3 linked regions of the Schizosaccharomyces pombe genome follow. Changing the gene in region 1 together with any one later gene gives a genetic interaction. Each region holds a gene or a part of one and is shown in the gene's direction. Other genes may lie near its edges.

What was found.
Region 2: mutations in rnh201 (region 1) and mug73 together harm fitness less than expected from each alone (positive genetic interaction), as found in Schizosaccharomyces pombe (one large-scale study listed by BioGRID).
Region 3: mutations in rnh201 (region 1) and SPOM_SPAC1B3.02C together harm fitness less than expected from each alone (positive genetic interaction), as found in Schizosaccharomyces pombe (one large-scale study listed by BioGRID).

Annotation. Positions count from the first base shown.
Region 1 is NC_003424.3:2,252,305-2,257,464, forward strand, and holds rnh201 (ribonuclease H2 complex subunit Rnh201), read left to right. Parts: upstream 1-2,191; 5' UTR 2,192-2,283; coding exon 2,284-3,264; 3' UTR 3,265-3,552; downstream 3,553-5,160. Other genes in the region: ubiquitin ligase Btb3, read right to left, coding at 1-466, 517-608, 677-885; alp11 (tubulin-specific chaperone cofactor B), read left to right, coding at 1,164-1,868; adenylate kinase Adk1, read left to right, coding at 3,631-4,293; pcf11 (cleavage and polyadenylation specificity factor), read right to left, coding at 4,553-5,160. UniProt on the Schizosaccharomyces pombe protein: Endonuclease that specifically degrades the RNA of RNA-DNA hybrids. Participates in DNA replication.
Region 2 is NC_003421.2:622,322-627,096, reverse strand, and holds mug73 (transporter mug73), read left to right. Parts: upstream 1-2,569; coding exon 2,570-3,490; 3' UTR 3,491-3,581; downstream 3,582-4,775. Other genes in the region: RNA-binding protein mlo1, read left to right, coding at 872-1,609; msy1 (MS ion channel protein 1), read right to left, coding at 4,038-4,775. UniProt on the Schizosaccharomyces pombe protein: Has a role in meiosis.
Region 3 is NC_003424.3:4,927,288-4,932,567, reverse strand, and holds SPOM_SPAC1B3.02C (Elf1 family transcription elongation factor), read left to right. Parts: upstream 1-3,022; 5' UTR 3,023-3,051; coding exon 3,052-3,117; intron 3,118-3,158; coding exon 3,159-3,205; intron 3,206-3,248; coding exon 3,249-3,319; intron 3,320-3,467; coding exon 3,468-3,607; 3' UTR 3,608-4,396; downstream 4,397-5,280. Other genes in the region: GTPase GUF1, read left to right, coding at 1-1,065, 1,217-1,255; cyclophilin family peptidyl-prolyl cis-trans isomerase Wis2, read left to right, coding at 1,553-2,623; SPOM_SPAC1B3.01C (uracil phosphoribosyltransferase), read left to right, coding at 4,650-4,748, 4,970-5,280.

The DNA of each region.
Region 1 (5,160 bases):
TTTTCATACAATGCGATAAAATCGTTTAACTGGAATTTTTTTCCAATACTCAGAAGAGCATTGTTATACTGTTTGGTGAAAACAGCATTTGTGTCTAAGTAGAGATATCGCAAAATTGATTCAAACTCTTTAGCAAAATGTTTGACTTCAATTTCATGTTCACTGGGTCCCAATTTCGAAAATTTTGATTTAAAATATGAACTTCTGGCAGCTAAATAGAATTTATGAGCAAAAACCCTACCATATTGACCGGCAAAGACTATGTCAGTAGTAAAATGTAAAGCCGAGTTCGACAACAAGGAAGTTATGTGACTAGCATAAGGTTGGGACTCATCAATGGCTTTAGTAATATCATAAGAAAGAAGCATACGGCGAATATTATCATTAAGGGCACCATACAAACATCTTTCTCCTTGAAAAGTATCTCGTTCGCATAAAGCACCATTTTCAAGAAGAAATTTTACAACTTAAGCGTGAGAAAATATAATAATTGAGAGCAAAACATTCATAGCATACCTGGTTCATGCCCGCAAAGACTCGCAAGGACTAAAGGCGAGTAGTCAAATTGGTCTACTTGATTAATAGGTGTGTTATAGTTTTCGACCAAACTGGATTTTGAATTTAGCAATTGCAGTTAAAATTGTTTATCGATTCAATATTTTTAAATTGCACATACCTCTTGACAACTTCCAAATCTCCACGCCGACAAGCTTCACAAAGCTCAAGAAATTCTTGGGTATCATTTACTGTGAAAAGTGAGGAAGACAGCTTCTTCTCATCCATTGCCTTTGACCAAAGGTCATACTTGGAGAAAAGCTTTTTAGAATTTTCACCACCTTGCAATTCGACATGTGTTGTCCCTGTATTTTGATCTTGAGAAGCCATTTTAATAAATGAAGAACAATTAACAACCGATTAAAAGGTTATACTGAGCAAAGATTGCACTTATGTTCAACAGTATTATCGACTTAAAATTTAATTGATCATATGCGAAATGTAGTTGGTTAACGAGGGTTCTATGTAATTGTTCAAGTTCGATGTGATTTGTGAACGACTGACCAAGGCGGCGTCAGCATTTAACTACTACGTCTTCCACCACTTTATATATTCTTGTGTTTTCCGTTTTCATTAATCATATATCTTAAGTTAAAATTATTTGCTACATGAATGAGATAACTCTCTTTATTAAATCTTCCTCTGCAAATGCTGAACGAAGGATTAACCCACAATGGACTGTTAGTCAGCTTAAGACCAAATTAGTTCCTATCGTAGGGACACCAGAACAATACCAAAAACTTACGTATGAACCTGCTTCCAGTACAGTCCCTGGACACGTTTTCACTAGCGAAGAAGAGAATTTAGACCTAGGGGAATTCAAGCTTCAGCCTCTGGGGACTATAGTCGTTGAGGATACACGCCCTCCTCATTTGCGTCTAGACTTTGACGATCTTTCACAGGTTGATAAATATGTAATGCCTCGTGAACAGTATGAGAACAGGACAGATTCTGTCTATGCCTGGAAAAAAAGAAATCAGCTTGGACGATTCAATCCAGACTTTGAAGCAAGTAAAGCTTCTCGACAAGAATCTTTAAAACGTGAATTAGTCGACTTACAAAAAAATTTAAATTCTAGGTGCTGTGCAGCAGGAGAGAGATATGGAACTATTCGCTATATTGGACTAGTGCCTGAAATTAATAATGACAATCTGTGGGTTGGCGTCGAATTTGATGAACCAGTTGGGAAAAATGATGGGACAGTCAGCGGAAAGAGATACTTTAATGCGAAAAATAAACATGGATCCTTTCTTCGATCTTCTGAAGTTGAAGTAGGAGACTTCCCTCCAGAAGATATTTTAGAAGGTCTTTGATGTTGTTATTCGTTTTACAAGGTTCCATGTTAATGATTTCCTTTTTTTTTGTTAAATCTTGTATGCAGGCTTCGATTGCTAGGAGATGACTCGCTTAAGATAATGAACAATTTTCTAAAAAAATGAAAGTCTAAAAAGTAAATCATTTAGTTTAGTCATTTCTCAATTAAAATATTTTTACTCAATCAAAGAAAGCATTATAACTGTAATGAATTGTTTGTCTGGCTTTTCTTTTTTTTTTATTTACATCGTTTTACCGTAGTACCGCTAATTAAAACCACGAACGAAAGAAAACTGTGTTAGGCCTATTTGCGCATTCCTTCAACCCCTTTATTTATTTTTTTATTCAGTTTTTGAGCCAAATATTAGAAGTACTCTGATAATTCTTTAAAAGATACAAAGCAGCAATCTCAACATGAAAGATGATCACGATGCATGGGAACCAGAAGAACTAGTCAGTGACAATAACTCTTCAGAAAATGAGCTACAAGAAGACCAAAATTCTTCAATAACTTTTTTACCACCTTCAGTTAATAAATCGAATCCCGCAAAATCGAATTACTATCATTCAACAGTCACTGATGATATTTCCAAGAGTCAGCCATATCGATTAGGAGTAGATGAAGCTGGTAGAGGCCCTGTCTTAGGACCTATGGTATATGCTGTCGCTTACTGTCCAGTCGATTTCGATTTGACCAACTATGGGTTTGCTGACAGTAAAACTTTGGCCTCCTTAAAGCGAGAGGAACTTCTGAAATTAATTTGCAACAAATCTAACGAGCTAGGAAAAAACGTTGGATGGTCTACTATGTCTATTTCCGCAAGAGAATTAGCTGCAGGAATGCTGAGGTACCGGAACAAGTATAATTTAAATCTTCAAGCACATGATACGACAATTGACTTAATAAAAAAAGTTTATGAATCAGGAATAAATGTTACAGAGATTTACGTGGATACAGTAGGACCTCCAATATCATACCAGGAAAAATTACAAGCTCATTTTCCTCAAGCGAAAGTCACTGTCACTAAAAAAGCAGATTCCCTTTTTCCCATCGTGAGTTTAGCTTCTATCTGTGCTAAAGTTACTAGAGATATTCAACTGGAATGCGCTCGTGAAAGTATTCGAACTGAGAACTGGGGTTCTGGATATTCTTCTGACGCTCGAACTACCGAGTGGTTAAAAGTAAATGTCGATAAAATTTTCGGATGGAAGGGAGACATAGTTAGATATTCATGGAAAACCGCTAAGGATTTACTAGAATTACCTTCCAAATCACAGTCTTCGATTGAAATAGATTGGCACGAAGATGACGATACTCCTACTTTGAACTTTACACAGAAAAAGAAACCGAATCCGGCTTCTCGTTCGTGGTTTGGATCAGAGTTTTATTTTTAGTTTAGTTACTATACTCTGTCACTACTTTTGCCTAAGACTAATTGTGAGAGTGATACGAATTTACATTTATGCTTAAAATCATTAATTGCATTGCTTCGTGCTTTTGGAGCTACGTAGAAAACCTTTATTAGCATTTGGTTATAGATAAAAATAATATAAATTTATTGTTCTATTTACCCCAGGCTTCTGCTCTGTTTATTGAGTTTGGTTTAGCACCAACAATAATATAACGACTTGTTAAAGTTCGCTATTATAAAAATTAGGTGGTCTTCTTTTACTTCTCAGTCCGATTTTAGACTACTACCAAATACCGCTTTGTTGTGGAATCTCGTTTTTTTTTTGCATAGATACCCAATTTGATCAAATATGGCTGGCATGAGACTTATTTTAGTTGGACCTCCAGGTGCTGGAAAAGGCACTCAGGCCCCCAACATTCAGAAGAAATATGGCATCGCCCATCTTGCTACTGGTGACATGTTGCGCTCTCAAGTAGCTCGTCAAACTGAGCTCGGTAAAGAAGCTAAGAAGATCATGGATCAGGGTGGTCTTGTCAGCGATGACATTGTCACTGGTATGATCAAGGATGAGATCCTCAACAATCCTGAGTGCAAGAACGGCTTCATCCTGGACGGTTTCCCCCGTACTGTCGTCCAAGCTGAAAAGCTTACCGCTCTTCTTGATGAACTCAAACTTGACTTGAATACTGTCCTTGAGTTACAAGTTGATGATGAACTTTTGGTCAGACGTATCACTGGTCGTCTCGTCCATCCCGGATCTGGCCGTAGCTACCACTTGGAATTTAATCCTCCTAAAGTTCCTATGAAAGACGATGTTACTGGCGAGCCTCTTATCCAACGTTCCGATGATAACGCCGATGCTTTGCGCAAGCGTTTGGTCACTTATCACGAACAAACTACTCCTGTCGTTGAGTTTTACAAAAAGAAGGGTAAATGGGCTGCTGTTGATGCTGCTCAAAAACCTGAGCAAGTTTGGGAGCAGATCGTTGCTATTCTTGAGAAGGCTGAGTAAGTATTTTTTTTAGGTTAGAGCTGAAGGGCCCCTTTCTTTTTCAATTACTTAGATATTTTTGCCTAGTGTTCGTAGGATATAAATATAGAATATTCTGAACCCAAAAGTTTTCGGTAAACTGTTTAGTTTGCTATACTACTATAAGCAGTATGTAAAACTCATATTTTAGCTGATTATATAGAAATATTTTTTGTATGTACATGATTCAAATTTATTGCTAAAATCCGAAAGCTCGAGAAAAATGAGGTTAAAACAAAACTCACTTGCTTTCTTGTTTAATAACTTTAGAAGACATTGAATCCATTGAATCGTCTCTCTCTTTGCGTTTACCAAGTGCTTGAAGGATACTTTGAATATCAATGCCTTGTAACAAATTTTGAACATCAGGTTGAGAGTCCTTCGAAGCGTCACCCGTAGCATTTTTAATATTAGACGAAACAGCTGCTTCCGCTAAATTTTGTGTACTAGTATTTGTGTTTGAATGTTTGTTTTCTGACGGGCGTACTTCTTGCAAACAAGTCGCATGAAATATACGGCCTTCCTCTTCGACTGCATTCATAAAGACCCAAACTTCAGCTTCCTCATGCCAAACACTTTGGAATTTTTCTTGACATATTGGACAAGGCTCGGACGCAGCAATTGGATCTAAGGGTGTCAATACATATTGTGACCTAACGGATTCCATTTGCTTTTGACGCTGTTCTTCGATTTCCTGAGCAGTCTCTGTAATTAAATCTTCCTCTTCTTTGCTATTGACCCATTCTTCCTCCATCACAAACCAACAGCGATTAATCCCATGAAGGCTACTTTCACGAATTCTCTTATTGATCCGAAAATGCCAATCTGAATGTTTGTCCAACTCCTTTC
Region 2 (4,775 bases), on another chromosome or scaffold:
AAAATACAGTGTTTAATATAGGTTTCTCTTGCATATCTGACATCCGGGAAAACATCCAAAATTTTGCACTGGATACTTTTAATTTAAAAGTTGTAAACGTTAAGGCGCTTGTAGTTTAATTGTGCTTTAATGATATTATTTGTTGTTGATGTCGGGTTTTTATAAATTGTATTCATGAAAATATTTCCTGGAATGGTAGAAAGAAATGTTCATACTTGATGAATGGTCCGTTTTAACACATTAAACTATGACTGTAATTACATGTGATTTTGTTTTTATTTTTGAATACTATCAACTGCTCTTGAGCTAAGATACTAAACTAATAATTGCCTGTTAAGTTCATAATCGTTGTAAGCATATAGTAAGGTAAAGCAAACGTAGCAGCAAATACCCAGTTCAATAAATGGAGTTTTTTCACTATCTACAAGTAAACTATAATAATAACTTTGTAAGGAACGAATGAATGATTTGCTCTTTCTTCAAGCTCTTTTAGTATTCTAGAAATCGGTTTAAAATGCCAATTCAAAATTACGATTAATTAAAGTAAAAAATAAATATTAAATAATCTAACTGATTACTGATTTTGATTCGTACATTTCATATAAAAGGGAGAAAGTATATCCCAACATCGTTTATAGACATTTTCTTTGAACCATCTCCTCACCATAGCACAGTAAACATTACATAGCGATACGCAAAATAGCACCACTATGTTTGACACAATCATCACTCCAATTCACTACGCTTCATTTGCGCATCCAACATGTCTCACTAAAGTTGGCTGGTTCGTACATATTCACCCTTGTCAACTGCGTATATCCCGAATTCAATAAACGTGTTATTTTGACGCGCATATACGTCTATATTCATAATGTCAGATTACAAGAGTCTTAAAGTTGCAGAACTGCGTGAAAAACTTGCGGAGAAAGGCCTCTCCACTGCTGGAAACAAAGCTGAATTGGTAAGCCGATTGACAGCAGCGACCGAGAGTAACGATGAAAATACTTCGAATAACAACGCTACAGATCTAGGAGATCTTGCTCCTCCCGAGGATGATATTGATTGGGGAGACATGGAGAATGATACTATTTCAACTGACGTTAACAAGCCAGCAGAACCCGAAAGTAAAGAGACCAGTGCTCCTGCCGCTGCTGTAGAGATTGAAAAGGAAAATGAAAGCATTATTTCGAAAGAGACTTCACAAGCTCCTGAAACTTCCACTGGTGCTGAAGAGCATCAAGAAACCACAGAGGAATCCAAACAAAGTGTATCTAATGAAGTCTCTAGCCCAGATGTAGCTAAAGAGCAAGAAAAACTCATCCAAAGGGCTAAACGATTTGGCATTCCTGTGGACGATGAACAAATTAAGAAAGCTGCTCGTGCTGCACGTTTTGGCATTCAACAACCTTTAGCGTCAAGTAATAACAAAAACCATAATCAATCTAAGAACCCTCAAAATCGTTCCAACTCACGTTCTAAACAAAGAAATAAGAATGCGCCTCCTAAAAGTGCTCCATCCAAGCGGAAGAGTAATATTTTGGACGACCCTATAGAGGCAGAAAAAGCTAGGAAGCGTGCTGAGCGCTTTGGTGTTGCTGCCAAGAATTAAAGTAACCATTTAACATATTTTAACTTCTTATTTTACAATATGACTCATGTTTCTTGAAGTTTTCTCCTCATGCCATGCTTTATTTGTATGCTTAATGCTTTTTTGATGAATTAGAACTTTTGAATTCCTATTTGTGTATATAAATTATACCCAGACTTTTGCTTCACTTTAAACAACTTATCCGAGTACAAGCATCCGATATTGGAGCCCTAAACGCTTCTAATTTCAATCCTACCTTTTAGGTGTGTTTTAAAACATCTGTGAAAACTCGGTTTTATTTTTTTAATAGCTTTTTGGGGCGTGATGTAAGTATTTCCTAGGCGAATTCTTTAATAGTTACCTATACTCATATGTTTTCCATTTTTAAAAAACTCTTCGTTCTAATCGTTTTGACATACACATTCGTTACAAAGATTTTCCACTCTGCTATCCATATGTATATATTTTGATGAGCTTATTTGTATTTAAGAAAAAGAGAAGGATTGTAATGTTTATATGATGTATCCACCTTTACTTCCAACAATGTCGAAATTCTTAATTTTTGTACATAAACTATTTTCTACAGGTTGGAATTTTATTTTTTTATTATACCTTTTTGTTTCTCAACTTCGGACTTCTTCTGTAACGTGCGACTTTACCTGTTTTGCTGTCATCGGTAAGTAAGAAAAAGTGAAAAATTTGACATTGCTGGCTGTAATGTTCTTTTGCGTTTTCTCAATTAGAGTCAATTAAAATGCCTTTTAATGGGAAAGAGTAACATCATTGTTTGTTTACATGTTGAAGTTTGTTTGTTTACAAACATGGCTTTTTAATCGACTTTTCTCAGAGCCACCTTCACCGTGTCTCAGCTACCCATTATTACAAAGTTTTGACTTTTCAACTCAACTAGTATCGCTACCTTTAAGAATATAAGAGTTGTTTCTATATCTTTTAATCCAGCCTCTATCCTGTTTACGCATCATGAATGCGAAATTATCTTCCTCCGGAATGGTACTGAAAGAGCTTCCGGAAGTCGCTTTGCAAAAGATAAGCTCAAACTACTATTGGGCTGTTTTTGCAGTGTTCCTGCTGTGCGCAATTGTCTTTCCTTTAGTATCGATATTCAGTTTGCCTCAAAAGCAGACTTACCACCGTTTCTTTTCCATCCTCAGTTTGGTTTCTTGCTTGGCCTACTTTACCATGGCCTGCAATTATGGATTGAAAAATGTGTTTTCTTCTGCTTCTTTTTTTCGAGAAGTTAGTGTACGAATGGTTTACTATGTTCGCTATATTCAATGGTTAATCAATTTCCCATTAATCATCGTAATGCTACATTGGACGGTAGGCGTATCTATACTAGAAATTGCATATGTCGTTTGCTATGTGCTTTTTGCGATTGTTTGCTTACTGGCGGCAGCATTAACTTCATCTCCCTATAAATGGGCCTATTACGGATTTTCGTTTGTAGGCTATTTTATTGCATTGGCACACTCAGTCGTTTTGCATAAAAAGTATGCTAGCCGTTTAGAGACGTCTGCGCGCCTAGGGTTTTTATGGTCAATTGTTTACTTACATGTCATTTGGTTCCTCTATTATGCATGTTGGATTTTATCTGAGGGCCTCAATGTTATCTCGCCAATTGGAGAAGCCATATTTTACAGTATATTAGATCTTTTCGAATTCGGCTTTTTTGGCGCTGCTTTTTCTTGGATGCTAGACTTGGTTGGTATTGAAAACTTTAAATCGCCTCAATCGATACCCTTAGGGGCATGCAGTCCTGCTGATGACAAGTTTTCAATGTGTCCGGACATGGAGGCACAAAACCAAGCTGATGATTTGGCCGTTGAAACTCGCATTCAAATTTCCAATTTACCTTCTTCACCTACGAAAAATAATTGCTAATAACAGTACGCATCGTTGCAGTTATCTTTGCTTAGTTATAGAAATTTACCTTCCGTTTTTTTTTTTTTTGTTTTTTAATCATTATTTGTTTCCTGAATGTTTAAAACAAACTCGAAGTTTCGCTACGAGAATTTCGTTGGCATTCTAAAACACAAACACTTTTTCGTGAAAAATTACGATTATGAAAACGAAATAATTATTATAAAAACGAAACCTTTGAACAATTATTAACGTTCATTCGCACTTGAAACGTCTAAATTTACGACGGTGAGTCATTGTTTACGTGAAAAAAGCATTATACTAGTTTTAGTTTAAGATTATTCGTAAATCATTTGCATAACTTTTACGAAACTTTACAAGGCATAGCTAATATTAATACAAAAATTTGCTGTTGAGATACAATATACGTTTAAACATTTCATAGAATAATAAATAAAAACTAAAAAAAAGAAACAAATAGTGCCCAAAATGGTAAATAGCCACTTTCAACGAATGAAGTAAGTAAAACTAGCATGAGCGATGCAAGTTTGCAAAGTGTTATGGGTATTTAAAGTCGAGCAGACTTAGAAGTATTATTTTCGTTTGGCTCACGTAAGTCTTGAATTGATATATGCTGCAACGGAGGAACTGTACGAGCACTGGGTCTAGCCGACAAACGACTAGCTTTAGAGGAAAAGCTAAAACGAGCACCTGACGTACGCGATGCATTTTCGTTTTCTTCATTCGAACTAGATTCTTGTTGAGAACGTTCGTACTCTTCCTCTTCGGCTCGGCGACGTTCCTCAGCTTCGCGTCGCATGGCCTCTGTGCCAGCGTTTTCAATGACAGCATCGGGAAGACTATCACGACCAAGCCTTTTACTTCCAATATCAGCAACATCATCAAAAGCAGGCATCAGATGCCGTGTTCCAAGGGAAAAGTCAACACGCTTTTTAGAAACACTAGCGGTATCGGAATCTGAACTACCAGGAGGAGTAGGTTCGCGGTAAGGATATGCTTTTGGGTTCTTCAGAATTCCTCCGCCAACAGTGCTGTCGCGATGATTTTCAGTACCACCACCATCATTACCACCAGATAACTTAACACCCTCCATTGAACCATTGTTGAAGTTGACATACATAGGTGAATCCTTTGATTTACCAGGGCTGTTGAAAATAGGAGATACAATATCCAATTCCTGCATATAAGTCATCAATGCACACATAAACATATTTCTTCGACGCATACGTAAAACCTCGTCTTGAAAGTTATATTTATGAAAGAATACAACACACAAAGACATGGA
Region 3 (5,280 bases), 2.7 Mb from region 1:
GAAGTACAACAAGTTGGAATTATGTATCCTGACATGACCGAAGTTTCGCGTCTTCGAGCAGGACAAGTTGGTTATATTATCTGGAATATGAAAAATATTGATGAAGCAATTGTCGGGGATACATATTCAACCATCGGATCTAATGTTGAAGCATTACCTGGTTTCTCTATTCCCCAATCAATGGTTTATGTTGGCGCCTTTCCTTTGGATGGCTCGGATTACGAGAGACTAAATGATAACATCGAACAATTGGCCCTTAATGATCGTGCTATTAATGTACAAAAAGAAAACTCGTCTGCTCTTGGGATGGGATGGCGTTTAGGTTTTCTTGGAACGTTGCATCTTTCTGTCTTTATTGACAGATTAAAGGATGAATATGGAAAGGAATTATTAATCACTTCTCCCACAGTACCGTATCGCATAAAATATAAAAATGGAAGGGAAGAAGTAATATCGAATCCTAATCTATTTCCAACAAATCATCAAGGTATATCTGAGCTTTTAGAGCCCACCGTCGATGCAACAATTATAACACCGAGCGAGTACCTAGGAGATGTTATCAAGTTGTGTGAATCTTGTCGAGGACTCCAAAAGGACTGCACTTATATGTCCGAATCGCGATGCATGATAAAATATCAATTACCTCTTGCTCACCTGGTTGAAGATTTCTTTGGTCGATTAAAAGGGACAACAAGTGGTTTCGCTACCTTAGATTATGAAGAATCGGATTACGTTCCTGCTGATTTGGTGCGACTATCAATTTTTATGAGTGGAAAATCTGTAGATGCTCTTTGTTCTATAGTGCATCGCTCGCTTGCACTTCAGCGAGGCCGTGAATGGATTCAACGGTTGAAGCCGTTAGTTCCTAAACAACTATATGAAGTAATACTTCAAGCTGTCATCGACAACCGAGTAGTCGCCAGGGAGTCTATCTCGGCTCTTCGAAAAAATGTCACAGCAAAATGCTACGGGGGAGATGTAACAAGGAAGCAAAAGCTACTTAATAAGCAAAAGGAAGGGAAAAAGAGATTGAAGTCAGTTGGAAATGTTTCAATTGACAAATCGGTAAGTAATTACATTGCCTGAAGACTTCATCGAAATATGTTTTAAAACTATTAGGAAACACAATTTTGTGTTTTAAAATTTAAATACATTGTTGACTTCACTCAACAGCACTTATATTTCTTTATAGTCCGTGTGTGCTAACTTAAATCAGGTATTTTATGAATTTTTAACGAAGAAGCAATCTAATTGAAAAAAGTATAAATATTTTTTGGTCTAATAAAAAGTCAAATTTTCTTCTGCTAGCATTTTTTTAATACAGTATGTTTCTAGAAGTTTCGTAGAAAATCTCTTCGCAGTAGGTTGCAAATATAAATCACCACCTTTTTAATAACTAAAACTAAATAGTTTGCACAGATCTGTATATTTCGTCTGCGTAAAATCGCTATTCATTCTTCTTCTTAAAGCAACTTTGTGGTGTGAATACACTGAGGAGACTGGCAGTGAAATATCATTACTTAAAAACGATCATTGTTTTTTTTTGCACGAAATGAGTACTTACGCCTATTTTAAAATTAGCATTGATGGTAAAATTCAACCAACAATCTACTTTGAACTTTTCGACAACGTAGTTCCCAAAACTGTCAAAAACTTTGCTTCGTTGTGTAATGGGTTTGAGAAGGATGGCCGTTGTTTAACCTACAAAGGTTCAAGGTTCCATCGAGTAATTAAGAACTTTATGCTTCAAGGTGGTGACTTTACTCGTGGTAATGGAACGGGTGGAGAAAGCATCTACGGCGAGAAGTTTGAGGACGAGAACTTTGAGCTCAAGCATGATAAGCCTTTCTTGCTTTCCATGGCCAATGCCGGCCCTAATACCAATGGATCTCAGTTCTTCATTACTACTGTTCCCACCCCTCATTTGGATGGAAAGCATGTTGTTTTTGGCAAGGTAATTCAAGGAAAATCTACTGTTCGTACCATTGAAAATTTGGAGACCAAAAATGACGATCCGGTTGTACCTGTTGTTATTGAAGAATGTGGAACTTGCACAAAGGATCAGATTGAGGCACCAAAGCCAGACGTTACTGGTGATTCTCTGGAAGAATTTCCTGATGATTACGAGGGTGATAAGTCCGAGACTGCCATTTTCAAAATTGCTAGCGACTTAAAGGGAATTGCTAACAAGCAATTTGCTCAGCAAAATTTGGATACAGCCGTTGCCAAATGGCAAAAAGCTTTGCGCTACCTAATGGAATACCCTGTTCCCAACGATGACTCTAAGGAATCCCCTGATTTCTGGAAAGAGTATAATGCTTTACGATACAGCATATACGCAAACCTTGCCCTTGTAGCTTTGAAGCAGAACAAACCTCAGGAAGCTATTCGAAACGCCAACATTGTAATTGAGGCCAGTAACTCTACTGAGTTAGAGAAACAGAAAGCATACTATCGTTTGGGTTGTGCTCAAGGTCTCTTGAAGAATTTTGAAGAATCAGAGAAAGCACTTGCTAAGGCTGGTAACGATCCTGCAATTTCAAAGAAGCTTGCAGAAATTCGTCAAAAGAAAAAAGATTATAAGAAGCGCCAACAAAAGGCCTATGCTAAGATGTTTCAGTAATTCCAAATTAATCGGCGTCACGTGAATGCTGAGAAGTCAATTATGTTTTACGTTAATTTCTAGTTAGTCAATGAGAGTTTTATCGCATTTACAAAATAACCATAGAAGGTCAACTACGTTGCGAGAAAGAGTGCAAGATTTACTTATGGAGGATCTGGCTTCGTTTGTAAGACTGGTATGCCTACGTTTGCGTTTCATACAGCAAAGTATCATCATGAATAGAAAGAACTCTAGAAACAAATGTGCATCAGTAAACTCAATAAGAATATCATATTTAAACATTTAATTCATTAAAATTAAATAAGACCGTCTCTTACCAAGTGTCGAAATTACATGAGTTTCCGCATTACCCTTCCTAAGGATGAGAGTGCTAATGTGAACCCGCTAATACGAATCTGCAGTTTGCAAAACGTAAACAGATTCTGCAAATGGGTAAAAGAAAAGCAAAAGCAAAAGTGAAACCCAAAAGAAGGGCACCCCCATTAGATACGACTGTGAGTTATAGTTTAATTACGAAATTTACTAACTTTACTAGTTTACGTGCCTATTTTGCAACCACGAAAAAAGTGTGAGCTGTAGTCTGTATGCTTATTAACTACTTTCATTTTTTTTAACACTTTGATAGTGATAAACAATCAGGAGTTGGAAATCTACACTGCAAAATTTGTGGTCAGAGTCATCAATGTCTAATTACAGGTATGAAAGAGGTGTTTTATTTCAATAGCGGCACGTAAATTATTACGATTAATATTGCGGTTAATTTCTTTTATATCGTCTCTTTATCTTCTTATTTCTTGTTCTTTTATGAAATTTTCTTGTACACTTATTTACTAACATTATCAAGCTCTTTCGGCACCCATCGACGTATACAGCGACTGGATTGATGCTTGTGATGCTGTTGCAAATCAAGCTAAAGAGGTTGATAATATAAATGATCAAGAAGCCTATTCCCCTGAAGCAGCTTATGAGGAAGAAAAGGAATGATTTTTTGCTATTGGCCTAACTTGCAAAAGGAAGATTCTTTTCAGAGCTTAAATGTTGAAAGTTTCCGTTCATTTATGGTGATCTTATTTTCGTTGATGCTCAGTCGTTTCAATTAAGAGATTTCTCTGAAGCGATAAGAAGGTATTAACTACATTGCAATGAACAAGACGCTGTATTTGGCAAAACCGGACGAGCTTAGTGTATACAAATCTAGGCATGCTCTTGTATATATTTGTCCTTTTTAAAGACGTCGAACATACGAATTTCGAGATTCCATCTGATGAACCGACAATTGGACGATAGTGTTAAGCTTATTTGTTGGTATTCGGATGTACCATCAATATGGGTGTGATATCTTGCTCATTGGCAAGATAGCCATTTCATTGCTTTGTTTTTGGTTTGGTAGAATCGCTGTTCACTATGACAGGCTAAGAATTACGAGTGCCTAGAGTGTGGTTGACTTCGACCTTGTACTTATTGTATTCTCCATGTACAAAAAATGTCTAGAATGAAAGAGATATGAAAATATGTTCATGTGTTCTTACTGCATTTGATTTAAAAATCCTTACAATACAACTCATTTCTTGGTTTCTTGTGAATACAGTTGGATGAATTGAGAATTACAAGTAAAAAACATTGAAATCCAATTAAGATTGTAAGCTGCATGGAGTCCAATTGTATGAATGTGTGCTTCAAAAATTTGTACTGTCTTTCTCATTCTTAAATATAAGCAGTAATTCATTTAAAAACATCAACTTGCCCTAAAATATGTTCAATAGTTAATTGATATTCTTATTTAATTTTGCCAAGCCTGCTAGAGTAGAAATCTTTTACTGCGCTAAGTAACGCATTAATCATAATTATGTTATTATGAAATGATGTTGTAAATCTTTATTTATGTTTAACGAAATATACTAAGGTTGATAAAACTCATTTTGCTATTGATAGCTTAAAAGCAAATGTGTTATTGTGCTTTTACTTTTTACCATTTACTTGGTAAACAACTTGATAGGTAGATATTTAAGCATACATCGTCAAAAAGATGTCGCTGGTACCTGAGCATGGAAATGTGTACGTACTAAATCAGACAAATCAATTAAAAGGGTTGTTTACCATCATTCGTGATAAAACGAAACCTCGTGTATGCGCGTTCAGTTTACAACAGATTACTGAGTCAAGGTCTAAGAACTAATTGAAATGAATGTGTTAATATGTCCAAGAAATTTTAGCTTTTTCCTCTATTAATGGGGAGATAAATGTTTATCAGTGGATGATAGGAAGCATTCATTATCAGTTAGTACATTCGACAACTTCTCGTGTATTCTTTGTTGAATCTGTTATCCCTGCTAACATGATATTTAGTCTGAATTTATTTTTTATGCCAATAGAATCATTCGTTTAATTGTTGAAGAGGGCCTCAACCACTTGCCAGTGTCTTCAGCTAAGGTAACGACTGCTCAAAATGCTGAATACGAGGGTGTAATGTTTGATGGTCGTATTTGCGGCGTTAGCATTATGAGAGCTGGCGAAAGTATGGAACAAGGATTGCGTGAATGCTGTCGTTCTGTTCGTATTGGAAAAATTTTGATACAGCGTGATGAGGAAACTCATAAACCTGTGTTACACTACATCAAGCTTCCCGAAGATATTTCTAAACGCTATGTCTTACTTTT